Linked DNA regions of Lepisosteus oculatus. The protein of the gene in region 1 purifies or fractionates together with the protein of each later gene. This does not show direct contact. Links are inferred from orthologs where the notes say so. Each region holds a gene or a part of one and is shown on either strand. Other genes may lie near its edges. The genes, in order: sec31a and scyl1.

Region 1 (8,048 bases):
GCTCTCTGCAATACTGTTAAGAGCACAGGACAACACTACGTTTTAAGCAAGACACACAGTCCAGTCCGTAACTCTGCTGTATGATGTTATATTTCTTGAATATGTATGAATACTCTTCTGAATGATGAATATGTTATGAATACATAAGAAGGTATGTTTATGACACCGGATTTATTGTCGTTTGGCAATTACCAAACCCAGAACAGCCCAGAAAGAGGCTATTTTAAAGGGGAGTTGTATTATATATCTTACATTTTTGTGAGCTTGTTTGCGGCTCTCAAGCTCCTTGGATTGTTGCAGATCCAGACTTTGCAATTTGTGTGTAATTTAGTTTAACTCTTTAACAAGTCTATTCCGTATTATTACAAGCTCGTTGCCAATAACCTACTGACTAGTAATCTTCTCCATATCTCACTGTCGTCACTTGACAATAAAGCAACTAGTAAAAAAAGAATTAACACCCTTTTTCAAAACATGCTTTACCTTCTCGACGATTGTACAATTTAATGCACTCTCGGGTAATACAAATCTCTTTACCAGTTGTGTGAAGTTCAAACATTATGTGTGACCACTATTGTTTAAACAAGCAGGTTAAATATATTGTGGGGGGGGGAGACACTTCCGTATATTTCAACAGGTTGAACACCTGCATCATCGCTAAACTGTATTTCCAGACCGGAAGTAGAAAACTCCCAAGCAACCACGCGTATTGTCCACATTTTCTTTACGTCATTGGCGTCTTTTTACGACCTACCCATACTGCCCCGCGGAGCTCATATAAAACCCCTAAATTGTGAGCGTTAGCTCCTTTTTGATGCTGGGGTGAGAGGAACAAAGTAGAAGACGATGTGGAAAGCTGATCCTAGGGGTGGCACATGTGGTGTGCTGTGCAATGCTGGCGTATGCACAAAAGATTATTTCAACGATGTGAGACAAAAAAGAAGACGCGTGGAGGAGAAGGGAGCACGGAGTAAGTTACAGCAAGTCGGGTTGCGGTAGGGGTCGGCAAAATTATAGTTATCTGAGCAATATGTTTGCACCCTTTCCTCTGGTTATGTACTTAATTAGCGCAATAATGATTACGATGATACCCAATGTCGCCTGTGTCCGATGATTTTAAACTCTTTTCTGCTGTTCACATCATGAAGCATTGTGATTACGATTTATCTAGTTATATGAGGACACGGGCTGACTTCGGTTTCTTACCGCGCCTATTTAGGCGACACGAAAATCTGGCCTGACTTAGTTGTCGTTCTTATTAACCGATTCCACTTGGTGAAGGATCTTGTCTGTAAGAGTTCATTCTGTGTTCCATTGTTCTGGTAAATTGTTATAGTTTCCAAGCCACGTTTTATTTGAAGTTGGCGCTCCTCCCCCAACACCAACGATGAGCTCTAAACATCTTTTGTTTCCCTTCCAGATTCCTTCGTTGCCCATTGAAAGGTCTTGATCCTTTTGGAGATGGAGTGTAATTGAAGTTTGCAAGGTAATTTACGAGCGCCTTTTTTAACAATGAAGCGCGGTATATTCCTTCACGCACGTGTAATGTCCCACAAACCTCACGCCGAACAGAACACAAAGGAATTGAGTGCTAGTGTCAGTCTAACTTGTCTGAACTTCTTTAACAGTAGTTAAGAAGGATGTAGGGCAGCATCCGTTTCTTGTAAATTCAACACAAGTCTCCCGTTACTAAATCCTAAGTGCAGGAAATGGCGGAGTCAATCGTGTGGCTCAGATGAGGGAGTACGATTAGAATGAAATCGTTTTTTTAGGGTACAGAGCACCAGCACTGTTTTACCCGAGCTCTCCCGTATCCGAGTTGAGAAAATTAATAAAGGTTTCAATTGTGCAGCTTGTTAAAACAAATCTCAGCTCGATTAAATAGACAGCTCAGATTTAGGCTTTGGTTTCCTTTAAAATATCACAGAACTGCTGAACACAATTTTTTGCCATGATTTTTAATAAGCTGTGATTCTTATTAGTTTTTCTTCTTGTTTCTCTTCCTTCAGAACAGGAGCACTTCACCCTACTGAGGTTAAAGGGACTGTGGGGCTGCACTGTCTGGTACCATTATCTCCACTCGGCAGGTGAGCCATGGAGTCACTGTACACATCACAGCCAATCTGACTGGCCCAGTGATTATAATCAATCACTACCCATCTGACCCTCCTCTGGGGGGAGGATTAAAACTTGTATATGAGGGTGCAGTCAGCTGCTGGAAATCCTTTGTCGTGGAGGCCCCGATTAGTCATTGCGTCATAAAGGCCTCTGGAGAAAAATGTTTATTTTAAAATGTAGCAAATGTTTTTGGCTGTAGTGGCCAGATCTTGGTGCAGAAGGGCCACATAGCGGTCATCTAATTTCATTTTTAAGTACATATCTTGTAAAATGGAAAGATGGGTTAGTTTGAGATCTATAAGTGGTTTAAGAAACTTGCCATTGAGAGGACTGGCCAGTGGTGCTTATATACCCATGTGCTAGGCTCTATTACTGTGGGTGTCTTGCAGTACACCGTAAAAGGACACAAAGGACCTGGCTTCTACCAAATGCTAAGTGTACACTAAGCGAGGCCACAAATGCTAACTGATGGCAGTATTTGCTATTGCATCTTGTGGCCTCCTGGCATTCTATCAAGCAGCATCTTCAAAGAAACCCATTTATTTGTCATGTATTTTGGGATTCATATTCACAGTGTTGTCTCGGGACTGTAGGACTGCATTACAGTGCATTGAGGAACTGGAATTTTAACTATTATCCTTCATGCACACGCCTAATAGTTGGAAAATCTCTCAGCCGGGTTTTCATGTTGAGCCCAGTGAAGGAAGCCTTCCACAGATGGTGTCTTGCTGGTGACCATGAGGTCAATCTGGCAGTGCAGGGGGGGGGATCAGGGACGAGCCAACAATCTTACAAGTGTGTCCATAGCCTTGTGTGGAAATGGAAGGAGTCTTCAGTCTACATCTCGCAGAACTAAAATATCAATTCCTAATGGGAGGCAATGAAGTCCGTTGAATGTGTTGGTGATCTTGACATTCTTATCTTTGCAGTGTTCCTGGGGATTACAGAGGAGTCTACACGAATGCTCTAGACCTGCTTTTGCCTGGTTTGAAGACCAGCTGCTTCTGATCTTGTGGGGAATCCTCTCATTTGCAAATGTGGGGGGCCATCTTGACCAATTAACCATGAAAAAACAATAGGCTTCTCACATCCAAGCCCTTTTTTTCATGGAAGCCGGAATATCGGCTTCAACATGGCATAGGGAACAAGCCAACCAGTCCTCAACCCATCGGCCATAAACTTGTGTTGCAGACATTTCAACAACCATGTAAAACAAGAGCCCTGGTTTTGGTTTATTAGAAGCTGTTTTCAGAGAAGTATGTGTGTAGAGACGAAATCAATTTTAGGGTGTTGCAGATAAGGTCACATTAATGTAAAAATGAGATTTCAAACATTATCCAGGAATTCTTATATGGCTTTATATATATATATGTGGAGCCTTTTGGTTCTCACACTAGTTATTTTACCACAAGAGTTAAGTTCTTGTAAATTCTGGTAATATTCCAGGCTTACTCTGAAGCCTTAATTCTTAAGTGTAATGTAATTTTGTGCCAAATAAATATCTTTAATGAAACATGACTGCAGTTCTTTGAATTTCTTGCCTCAAGCCAATGTCTTATTGGGTAACCAAACACTACGTGTTCTGTGCGTTTATAGCTATCAAAATGGATCTGGATATCTGGGTACAAGTCTTTTCCACATTAATGATGTCTTGATGTGAGCCAAGTGTGCACATTTTGGAATTAACCATGAGCAAATGCTGATCACCTGGCCTCACGTAGACCAAGAGATCATTCAGTATTGGTTTATATTCTGTGGAATTTACAGGGCATCTTTTTTTTTTAGAAGGGTCTGAAACAATGTAGGTTTAGAAACAAGTAGAGGGTTATTACAGGCTGAAACATTTCTGCTGTGGAGCCTTCTTCAGGTGTGTCCCAAGCTGAAATGTTTTTCCTTTTTTCAGCATGGAATAAACCTTTACATGTTCCTTTGCAGGTCATGCAGCTACCCACTTGAACTACATAGGTTTAGTTTGTCTAAAGCCTCCCAAGAACCTTTTTAAAGAGATTGTGCTGAGTTGGGAGACAGATTAATTGAAAAGTAGTTATCCTAGCAATGCTGCTTCAGCAGCAAACCTGTAAAACAATGCCCCCTTTCATAGACCTAGTGGAGGCAAAAGATTACATGAAAACTATAGTTTGATAGCGTGTTGCAGTGGATTTCCTGTTAAGGTAATGAAAACATGTTTGGGAGCTGCTTCAGAGCATTTGGATTGTTAAAGTAAACCAAACATGATTAATTGAAATAACATCTTTAAATAATGTACTTTAATTGTTGAGTGAACGTTTTCCATAAGATTGATATGATTTTACATCCAATTTAATTTTGAGAATTGAAATGAGTGAAGAAAAATGAAAAAATCTCCAGGGTTTTAGGCTTTAATTTATTCTGACATGCATAAATGGATTATAAACATCTTTACAGAACAACGTGGAAAAGGTGAGATCATTTTTTGTGACATTACATTCCTGCTGGAATATAATCATTAAGTTATTGCAAATATATATTTAAACCATGTTTTTCTAATTTTTTGTTTCTCCCCTTCTGAAAAGTACCAAAAAATACGTGGTATTTTACAATTAAGGTTTTAGTAAATGGCGTCGCAAAAGATGCATCCATGCGATAATATTTTAGAAATAAAAAGTGAATGAAAAAAAGATTAAATTATACAGGCATTTTCTATTTGTGCAATTCTGATTGTTGCAAACCTATTAACTTCATGTGTCGGTCCCCGAGCAAGGACCGTCTTGAACCCTGGGAGAGAGATCCGCGTTCTCCTCCGCCGGCTGCGAGAGCACCGTCCTGCTCCGCTCGCCGGAAGTGCTCAGTGTGAGGGGTGGAGAGAGGATTGCCACGTTGATGGGGACGTGGACTTTGTTGAGTCGCAGCCGTAAACCTGCAGCCGGGACCAGAAATAATAAACCCCGTAACAACCAGGAAAGGGAACCTGAAGGATAAAGGGGGGAAATATACGATTTAAAGTGGATCAAGAGCAGGCTGACTTCTGATATTTACTTTTTTTATTTTAAGCAATCAACGTACTGTGCACGGAAGGTAAGGGGACTTTCGTGGAAGATATTCCACTTATTTGTATTACTGCTCGGTACCACTATACCACCAGCCTTCATTCAGGGAGAACACTGAATTTGTTGATCTGCATCCTAGGCCTCAATGCATTCAGGTCTCACAGCTGCAACGCCGGGCACCAGTGAATATTACAAATCCACTCTCGGTTTTACGTGTATGCTTTGCAAGTATTCCTCCGGTTACGCGACGTAAAACCGTATTTTTGGACGCAGCTTCATGCTGCCCCGCAGTTTCCTGTCGACTTTGGTCTTTCCGTTTCATTCATCTAAAAAAGGTAAAAGTTTGCATGAGTGGCGTTTTGGAGCTGTGGTTTTCTGTTCAGCATTAATGTGCTGCTTTACGAAAACAATTTGTGTTTACAGTATTACCCCCCCCAGCGAATCACTGGGAAAAAAAACAGTGCTTGTTGGCACAGATCTATGAATTAGACCAGTCGTAAAACTTCATTTTTTTAACAGATTAAACGTTGCTCTTTAAAAGAAACGCGTTTTTAAAAGGATCAAGGAAATCGCTTACTGTTGTTTTCATATTTATATGTTTTACCACAGAAACGGCAATTCGGTGCCAAAACGCTGTGGCTAGTTATCTATTGAGCCTTTGCCCTCTTGTGTATCGCTGCATACGGTTCACAGACTGTGGCCAATGAGAGTGTAGAATAAAACATTTTTTAATACAATTTCGACCTCGTTATGGTCTTTGTTTGAATATTTGTAATTTCACAAATAGTAATTCCTATTCATAATTACATTTTAATCGCACTTAAATTTAAGTCATTTAAAAAAGAATTATTGCATTTCACTGTGGTGAAATATTTAGGCGTGGTGAGTCTTTTTCTCTGTAAATGGCTAATTTTAAGTATAAACAATGTTTTAACAATAGGTTTAATCATATAAATGTTAATTCTCTTCCCTAACTAGAACTCCCTGGGACTGAGAAGATGTAGTACATGATTTAAAGATTTATATGACATAAGAGTTCTTTCTTATGACCTGTTTGAAAAAATGTGTCTTAAAAGTTAATGGAGAAGAATTTAAAAGTGTGAGAACTAGTTGGGATGAGAATCTTACAAAACTGCCCTAAAATTTCGTATTTAATAAATTGTTGTGCTCTGGCCTTTACGAAAACCATATTAGACCTGCTGCGTATGCAGTTCTGGGTTTCCAGCCAAGTCTTCTCAGTTATGGCATTAGCCAGTGATTTGCAAATAAAGCCATCTGAGAGGAGAGTTAGTGATTCTGGGTTACTTATAATTAAGAGTGTTGCGGTTGGCAGAGTTATCATCCTACTATACATATCATACTACTGACTTCAGGCTACCAACTAGGTTCATTGTGCAATTTTTGATTACGTCACATTGCTAAAATATGGTATAATCAGCCTTAAAAGCACATATATTGTCTGGGTTGAGGGTCCCATTTTCCCCTGTATGCTTTGTACGTATTGCATCCACATTTTAGCCAATGAATGATTATTCCCAAACACACTATAAGGTTCTTTTACTTAATGGCATGTTGGTGAGTGGGGTAGGTCTGACGTTGGACCTGTGGGTTTGTGCCTGTTGGGAAGGACTTGCACATGCTGGTCTTTCTGTTGTGTGACCTCCTCTTCTTGTTCTCGAGTGGATGTGAGCCAGAGTGGGCAGGCTATATTTGAACTGGAGTCCTGATAACCCTGATGTGACCTCATTAACTTGAATTCGTATAGGGAGCTGATGTCTCATCTAGTGCCTTAGTTTCTTCTGTGCAGGTCATTTGACTTGTTAGGTCTCAGCATGAGGTCTAACTGTTTCTTCAAAACTTTGTCATTAGGTGCTTTTGGCAAAGTTAAAGGTCACTGATGTATTCTAATATTTCTCCTTTAAACCTCAGCATTGTCCAAAATGTGTTTCTGTGACATTCAAATTAACTCAGTCAAATTGTTTAAAAATGGTGCAGTTAATTATTTCTCTAATTAGTGATTTGTTTTTGCCCCTTGGGCAACTACAGCTCTTTACTGAGTTTTGCTCTCAGCATCACTGTCTCTCATTTAAAAACATCAAGGCTGATTTTAATTGTTTTCTGCTGACATCTGTGATTACAGTAATACCCGAATTACAACCGAGAAGGGTTACCGTTTTAACTTATAATTTATGTCTCCAAGCCCATTCATGGCTTGGCTCTTGTGTTTTATGATCTATGCATTGCTGTGTGAAAATTAACTTGCAGGTTATTATTAATGTTTGTAAAAATCTATTATGCAATACTGTTGTAAATGCTAAAATCCATTTTTGTACTACTTCATTCTAAAGTTCCTTTTGCATTTTCCATTAAATAACTTTTTAGAAATTGATTATGTTTTAAAAAAGGGAGCTAAATGTAAATAAGCAGATTATTATTTATTATATTTTTCTTTGTAAGCTGTAGTGTCTGTTGATAAAATGGGGCCTGTGCATCATTAGAAAGCTCCACCTGATGACCTGCAGGTCTGAACTTGTCCTCAGAGTTTTCTGTGGACTTTGGTGGCAACATGAAAAACACTCGCACAAAAAATAGTGTTTATTTTGGAATATCTTTCCAACAGGACCACGGAACTAAAATTACCACTGATGGCATAAGCATTGTTATCCTGTATCTTGGAGGCAGACAGTCCTTGAGTACAAGATTCCTGCAGATTTTAGATTTATCTTCCAAAAATGCTTGAATAACATCTTGAAAATGCAGATTTCATGCCTACTAAATTAGCTGAATTAAGTTCTGTGATGTTTTTACTCCTTCACGGACCGTAATCAAATCGTTTTTGATGACCACACATTACTTTAAACATGGTTATTGATAAGTTTTTCTTAAGATATTCATATTGGTCAT
Region 2 (8,085 bases), on another chromosome or scaffold:
GCCTTGAGGTGGACAGCCAGGGGCGTCACCGGCTCCGTCACCACGTACAGGCACCTCTCCGTCTGCGGGCACAGGGCGAGAGGGCGTCAGGGCACCGCGGGGCGCCGCGGGGACGGGGGGGTAGGGGGCGCCCCGAGCCCCGAGCCCCGGCCCTTACCTCCAGGCCGTCCACGAAGGCCAGGATGTTCGGGTGGCGGAGGGTCTTCGTCCTCTTAAAGGCCGCCTTCGCCAGCGCCGTCTGCTCGTCCGAACCCGACTTCACCTCGAAGGCGAACACCGAGACCAGCTCGCCCGTCGCCTGTGCGGGGGAGACACAGAGACGGGTTGGGGTGGAGGGGGGGAGGGGTCACAGCCGCATCGCCTGAGCTGAGCCCCAGCCTGCTCCGAACGGCACAGTGAGCACGATTCGCCCACCCAGGCATTTTCGAACCCCTGTATGCAGTTGAGGGCTGTGGGGGAGCTGGAGTCTATCCCAGCAAGCAACAGGCGCAAGGCGGGGTACGCCCTGGACGGGACGCCAGTCCGTCACGGGACACCCACACACTCCCACCCCAGGGTCCGTTTTCCCCAGAAGTCTTTGGAAATCGGAGCACCCAGAAGAAACCCATGTGAATACGTGAGGGGCATGCAAACTCCACACAGACAGCACCCCAGGGTCCGCAAGCGAGCCCAGGGCTGTGCCCGTGCCGCCCAGCCTGACTCACAATCAGTGTGAACCACCGGAATGACCTCCACTGAGCTGGGCTGGAAAACCTGGAGCGGATCAGTCTGCTGTGCACTGGGAGAGTCTAACTGACGGCTCCGTAAAACCTGGAGCGGATCAGTCTGCTGTGCACTGGGAGAGTCTAACTGACAGCTCTGTAAAACCTGGAGCGGATCAGTCTGCTGTGCACTGGGAGAGTCTAACTGACGGCTCCGTAAAACCTGGAGCAGATCAGACTGCTGTGCACTGGGAGAGTCTAACTGACAGCTCTGTAAAACCTGGAGCAGATCAGACTGCTGTGCACTGAGAGAGTCTAACTGACGGCTCCGTAAAACCTGGAGCGGATCAGTCTGCTGTGCACTGGGAGAGTCTAACTGACAGCACTGTAAAAGATGGAGCAGATCAGACTGCTGTGCACTGGGAGAGTCTAACTGACGGCTCTCTAAAACCTGGAGCAGATCAGACTGCTGTGCACTGGGAGAGTCTAACTGACAGCTCTGTAAAACCTGGAGCAGATCAGACTGCTGTGCACTGAGAGAGTCTAACTGACAGCTCTGTAAAACCTGGAGCGGATCAGTCTGCTGTGCACTGGGAGAGTCTAACTGACAGCACTGTAAAAGATGGAGCGGATCAGTCTGCTGTGCACTGGGAGAGTCTAACTGACAGCACTGTAAAAGATGGAGCGGATCAGTCTGCTGTGCACTGGGAGAGTCTAACTGACAGCACTGTAAAAGATGGAGCGGATCAGTCTGCTGTGCACTGGGAGAGTCTAACTGACAGCACTGTAAAACCTGGAGCAGATCAGACTGCTGTGCACTGAGAGAGTCTAACTGACAGCTCTGTAAAACCTGGAGCGGATCAGACTGCTGTGCACTGAGAGAGTCTAACTGACAGCACTGTAAAACCTGGAGCGGATCAGACTGCTGTGCACTGAGAGAGTCTAACTGACAGCTCTGTAAAACCTGGAGCGGATCAGACTGCTGTGCACTGAGAGAGTCTAACTGACAGCACTGTAAAACCTGGAGCGGATCAGTCTGCTGTGCAGTAGGGGCTCTGATGGACAGCACTGTAAAAGATGGAGCGGATCAGACTGCTGTGCACTGGGAGAGTCTAACTGACAGCTCTGTAAAACCTGGAGCAGATCAGTCTGCTGTGTAATGGGAGAGTCTAACTGACAGCTCTGTAAATCCTGGAGCGGATCAGACTGCTGTGCAGCGGGGGCTCTGATGGACAGCACTGTAAAAGATGGAGCGGATCAGACTGCTGTGTAATGGGAGCATACCCGGCCACACTAAAACCTTGCCTGATGGTGCTGTAAAACCTGGAGCTCTTCAATGAATTGGGATCCAACCTCTGTACACAAGGCCCGCCGCTAAACGGACTTTCCGGGAACGATGATCTAAACACCGGCTGCTATCGGGCCCAGGGGGAACAGGCTGCGCTCCAGAAAGCGTGGTGTTGGCAAGTCACCTCAGGAGGAGGAAAAGAAAAAAAGAATTCTGCCCTCCTCATCTGCAGCGACAGCTCCGCACTCAGTGGGATTCAACGCCGGTCAAGGTCCAGCGGGACCCCAGCACTTGAAATAAACGAGGGGGGAAACCGCTGGACCGGGGTGGGGGGGGGGTGATGCGGAGGAGGGGTCCGTCCTGCCTGGAGAGAAATTAACAGCACGCCAGTCCAGCTGTGCTTCCCCTGCCTATATAAAAGGCTCAGGTCTCCCCCCCCCCCCACACGACACAGGATTTTGCCAATTAACACGTCAAGGGAGATGAGAGTTTAAACAAGCGTCTCACTCAAGTCCTCTACACCCAGCGACGTGGCGACAACAGACGTGTTTATACCGGATAGGGGAGCGGACAAAGGCGGACATTCAGGTGATTATTTTTAAAAGTCATTGACAGTTCGTGCGAATAGGCATTTTGGCCCCCCCTTTTTGTTTTTTTGCCCCGTCTCCCTAAACCTACCTGCAAAATTTCCCCCCACAACCATACAAGCCCCCCCCGTCCTCCCCGCACCGCCAACTCGGCCGCAGCCGCTACTCGAGCCCGGGGCGTCGGCAAATCCTAGGCCTCGATCCCCCGCCGCCGCCTCTCCGTTCACCGTTTCAGATCAAACCCGGGCCTTACCTTCCGTTTCCCCCGGTGCAGAGTCCATATTCCGGACGGCTCCTGGGTGTCCGGTAAGATTTCGTACTGAAAATCTTTAACTGGATCCCGGGCGAAGAAGGACCACATCCCACCTTTGCTACCGACATCAAAACACGGAATGAACTGCGGGCTCGTCTGCAGCGCTGCCGTGCAGTACCGCAGCGCCACCGCTAGAGGGGGGGAGGCTAAGCCTGCGTGTTATATTACTGTCCGGCCGCTAGGTGGAGACACGCCCGCAGGATGTCGGCCTCGCACGGGTTTTAATTTTTTTTAATTTTATTTTTTTTAATTAAACGTATAAAGAATTTACAAATACAACTACAACCCGAGGCTCAAAAACAGGTACAAGAGGAAAAAACACGAACAGGAAAAAAAAAACCTGAGGTAATGAAGTAAATTATGTGATTAAATTGTATTTTTTTTTTACATATATCATCCGTTTTCCTTACTTTGTCAATTTTTTTAAATAGAATTTAAATAGTTGAAGTGGAGCTGAAAAAGACCTACAAAGGGGAGGATTATTAGACCCTTTTGATTTATGGATGTGAAATTTACCCAGAATGACTAATGAATTGACTATAAAAAAAATGCTCTTTTTCCAAATGTTCTATTAAACAGTACAATAAAATATCAAAATCCTTCAAGCTAAAAAACACCTTTAACTGCCTGCCAACACACCTCCGCAAACCGACACCTCACAAATAACTGCACCAAAGACTCCCCTTCAGCTCGACAAAAAACACACAGATCACCCTGCTCAGGCTTTAGAGCGATTTAGAGAGCACTAATTGAACTGGATAAAACTTATGAACAACTTTCAACGATATCTCTTTAACTTTGTTTGTAACACACTCTCTATCAGGAGTTGTCCAAACTAACTCCTAAGTTTATATTTTCAAACATTGCATTCCAAAAAGATAAACAAATAGGGATATGATAATAATAATAATAATAATAAAATAATAATAATAATAATTGCTTACACTTATATAGTGCTTTTCTGGACACTCCACTCAAAGCGCTTTACAGGTAATGGGGATCCCCTCCACCCCCAGCAGTGTGTACCCCCACCTGGATGATGGGGGTCTACACAGAGATTCCTTCTGTGAGTATTGTTACATTTCTTATCCTTTATTTCCACGCCATCCCAGAATAAATCAGTTGTAGGACCCAAAAGGAGGTCAGTCCTATTAACACTTTGATTTGCTTTTAACAAGCTCACTACACCTTCCGGAATGGTATCAAAAACTATCGCATATTTCTTAGGGGGGGGTGACAGGGAACTGAAATCTCTCCAGGAATTCAGGATAAGTAAACAATCTGCCGTCTTTATTCAACAGTTGAGCCACCAAAAGAGGAGAAACGTGTCGTTGCCGTCTCTGTCCAGGAGAGGGCGACCAGACGCCATCAGAAAGCAGAAGGCCGTCCGACTGTTGTGATGATATCCCTGCTCCTCAGCGAATTTAATTATTTAACCCTCGCCCTGTTCTCCCGCACAGGGTCTCAATGGGACAAGGGCAGACGAAGAGGTCAGCCCCCATAGTGCAGTGTACGAGAAAAGGGGGCTCATTATTCTGGACTTGGGGGTCCCCCCCAACACTGGCTGCCCTTCAGCCCGGCTGAGTCCTTTACTGAACTGTTCTCTGATTCTCAGAAAGTTGCGTCTGTCGCTTTTGAACCAGTGAGCTGAGCCCCTTGGAACCAAGACAACAGGGGTCTTATTAACACTCTTGATGGGGACAGCTGATGTCAAGTTATTAAAATCGCCATTTTTCCCCAAGTTTGATCGGCTTAAGTGCTGCTCGGGGGAAACGAACACATCACAAACACGGGGTCCCCCAAATCACAGTTCATGTGACCCCGGTTATCCGTCGACTTCCAAACCCGATCTACAGCTCCTCAGATGGGAGGCTTAAAATGAAGAGACGGAGTTCTCCAAGTTCAGCAGGATAGCGGTTGGTAAATTTAACAAGCAACAGGTCTAATTAGTCCATTATTAGGTGACAGAATGAAGACTTCAGTGGGGGAACACAGACTGGGGGGGTCACAAGAACCGGAGGCAGACAGGAGTCCCGCCTCTCACGCCCTGAGGAATATTCTGGCACTAAACGGACCCGAGCTGAAGGTGTGAACCAGTGAGGGGTACCACGTGCAGTACCCTGGTTTAGGGGCAGCCCCCAGTACCCAAAGGTTCCAACCGGCACCCAGCGAGAAACCCCCCCGAGTCTCGATTAGGTATGGCCATGCATCTTACACGCAGGTGGATCAGAGCAAACAGACCAGGAGGAATGAAAAGTCACAAAGACTTCAGAAAACACACCCTTTCGCATTAAAGAAATCTACTCCAAAGGAGCAAACCGGATTTCTCCCCTTGTGTCGTTGAAGATGAGCTGGTTGTAGATTGGGCTGGCTTTCGTGGTGGTAAAATGTGGAATGCGGGGGTTGCTGGTTAGTGGCGATCAATGCATCACTGCTACCAAAATGACAAGTTTATCTTTTACACGTTGCAATACAATACTTCAAGAGGAACCCTGCAGAGGAGTCGAGACTGATGGGGTTAGTGGGACTCTGCAGATACTGGGTTCACAGATTCAAACTGCTTTATTGGTAAAAAGTGTTGCCAAAGCACAGTCACTACAGCATCTACTTACATTTACAATACAAATGCATCATTGGCATTAACACACACCACAGAACATTAAACCGGCTCCCTGTCTGTTCCTCAGGCTGGGACAGGAGATCACACACTATTATTATTATTGAGAGACAGGCTCACTGTCTGTTCCTCAGGCTGGGACAGGAGATCACACACTGTATTATTATTATTGAGAGACGGGCTCACTGTCTGTTCCTCAGGCTGGGACAGGAGATCACACACTGTATTATTATTATTGAGAGACAGGCTCACTGTCTGTTCCTCAGGCTGGGACAGGAGATCACACACTATTATTGAGAGACGGGCTCACTGTCTATTCCTCAGGCTGGGACAGATCATGTACTGTTCAGTCAGCTCAATAGTTATTTTGTGCAAGCATGTTATTCCAAACCCAGAATACTTGTCACAGTGCATCCGTCTCCATTTCTCCCACAGGGGAGAGGGAGCACAGCCCATCCTCAGCTGAGGAAAAGGCAAGACGTGCTGCCCGCCCAGCAGCGACTTCAGTACTCGCCGAGGGCGTTTCAAGGGCACACTCCTAACTGGTCTCGGACAAGCTCGAGTCCAACAGACACCCCCCCAAGTCACGTGGGCCACACTAAAAAAAAAAACACTCCACAAAAGTGCACACCAAAGCAGGCGAGCAGCTCAAGAGCAGACGGCGAATCCGCAGGTCCAGGATGGCAGGCGTCTTCTGCAACAGCACCGTGTCGACTGAAACGGGCCGAGTTCATGTGCTCAAACAGGGGATCGTGAATTATGAACCGCTCCCGGGGCGCAACTAGTGTCGATTGGGTTAGCAAGTTCCACATCAAGCACGCAGTAGTAAACGCCGGAGTTCTGTCTGGTTTATAGTGCAGTAGTACAAATGAAACCAGATCCTGAGAAATCCTGGAGTTGTGATCTCACCCCCCGCCCCGAGAGGAATGGAGGTATTTGGGCTAGGTTTGACCTAGTTTCATACACACCTCTATTCCCCACTGGTGGTCAACCCATACAGGCTGGGATTGGACCGTTACTCCTATGAAATTCAATTTAAACCGGGATACAGATCATCCCATTCAAAGCAAGGACCCCTCAGGGAGTCGGACCCCACCCTGGAGACCAGGAGTGCCACCACTGGAGTCTTTTGCTTTTTAAAAAAAAAAGCCAATCAAAAGGGAGAAAAGCAAAACCTGGGGGAACAGAGACGCAGGGTTTTTGTTCCCCCAGGGAAAGAGAAAAACCCTCCATTGAGACTCGATCACTGCAGCTTTACACAAGGGGGAGAACGACCCTCGGCCCGGAGGACCCTCTCTGGCACAGAGACCAACAGGCCGAGAGCTGAAGCGTCTTGGCGCAGCAGAGACACCGCGGGGAGTCGAACCCCGTCCCGGAGACCGGGAGCCCCACGACCGGCGCCTTTTGCTTTTTTTGCGTTCGTTAAAAGGAGAAAAAGCAAAACCTGGAGGAACAAGAGCTTGTTCCCCCAGGAAAAGAAAAACCCTTGGATAAAGCTGCTTCGCCTACGGTCCCTGCGTACCTCGCACGGAGCCTGCAACAACTACAGAGAAGGGTTGCCGTCCCCCATTCCCCACCGAACCCCCGAAATGTATTTGAAAAAATCGAAACGAAAAAGCGAAGGACTGTCTTACGACTGGAGAGGCCAACGGGTCTTCCGACCGCCGTTTTCGTGTTTCTTTTTCTTAAAGAGAGACAGAACAAGCACCCACAGAGAACATCAGCGCCGCACGCGCGTGCGCACCAGAGCGAACTGCATGGTTTACCAGGAGAACCCGTTGCTGCACGGGTCTGTGCGTCTTGGTCAAACACTTTAAGGGGGTTGGTATGTTGCTGGGTGACCTCTCAAAACGTAGAGCTGTTGGGAAAAAAAACTAAAGAACCACTTTATAGCCCCCCCACCCCATCCATTAGAACCTCAAAACTGCTTCGCCGATTTGATCTCAGCTTACTGTACTGCCAAGTCGAGTTTATTTAATGCACTTCTAATCTGAAATTATCTTATGTGTGCAGGATATCCCCACTTAACTCTGGAGCCTCAAAACTAGCTCTAATGTATTCCTACTAAACTACTTAAAATGCCCTATTTTAATGGAAGACATTCGACCAGGTAGTACACCCAGGTCTAGCCCTAGGGGCATTTGAGGCTCTGAAAGGTCTGTGTAATATCAGTTTTGGTGTTGGATTAACTTACTCTCCAAAGCCTTGTCCTCAAGCTTAAGTAGGAGCCAGGAAAAGTCATCGAACTGAAGAGTAAACATCTGAAAAGCAACCCGAACACCCCTCCCCAAAAGCACGTGCTGCTCCAGTGGCCGTTTTCCAAGTTAGGAGTCGCTTATGCCAGTAAGTCAAGATTTTCCATCCGGGGGGGAGGTTTGACCTGTTAAAGTGACTGAGAAACAGGAGAGAAGAGCCGGGCCCCTCTACGCTGGCGGAGCCAGATTCACTGGTGCCTCACTGCTGGGCAGGTGTGTGTACACTAAAGATGAACATCTGGAAAGAAACAAGATTTGTTGTGCCCACCCCCCCCTCCCCCTTAACAACAGTGCCAGGCCTGAGCCTAAATGTAACCAGTTACA

What was found.
Region 2: the proteins of sec31a (region 1) and scyl1 purify together in Homo sapiens (affinity purification with mass spectrometry; 3 studies listed by BioGRID and IntAct, counting the BioPlex papers as one, with this or other methods). This does not show direct contact. The link is inferred for Lepisosteus oculatus from reciprocal best matches to the Homo sapiens genes SEC31A and SCYL1.

The regions. Positions count from the first base shown.
Region 1 is NC_090698.1:27,495,347-27,503,394, reverse strand, and holds the start of sec31a (protein transport protein Sec31A), read left to right. Parts: upstream 1-4,924; 5' UTR 4,925-5,172; intron 5,173-8,048. UniProt on the Homo sapiens protein: Component of the coat protein complex II (COPII) which promotes the formation of transport vesicles from the endoplasmic reticulum (ER).
Region 2 is NC_090713.1:21,128,640-21,136,724, forward strand, and holds the start of scyl1 (N-terminal kinase-like protein), read right to left. Parts: upstream 3,014-8,085; 5' UTR 2,938-3,013; coding exon 2,830-2,937; intron 299-2,829; coding exon 158-298; intron 63-157; coding exon 1-62. UniProt on the Homo sapiens protein: Regulates COPI-mediated retrograde protein traffic at the interface between the Golgi apparatus and the endoplasmic reticulum. Involved in the maintenance of the Golgi apparatus morphology.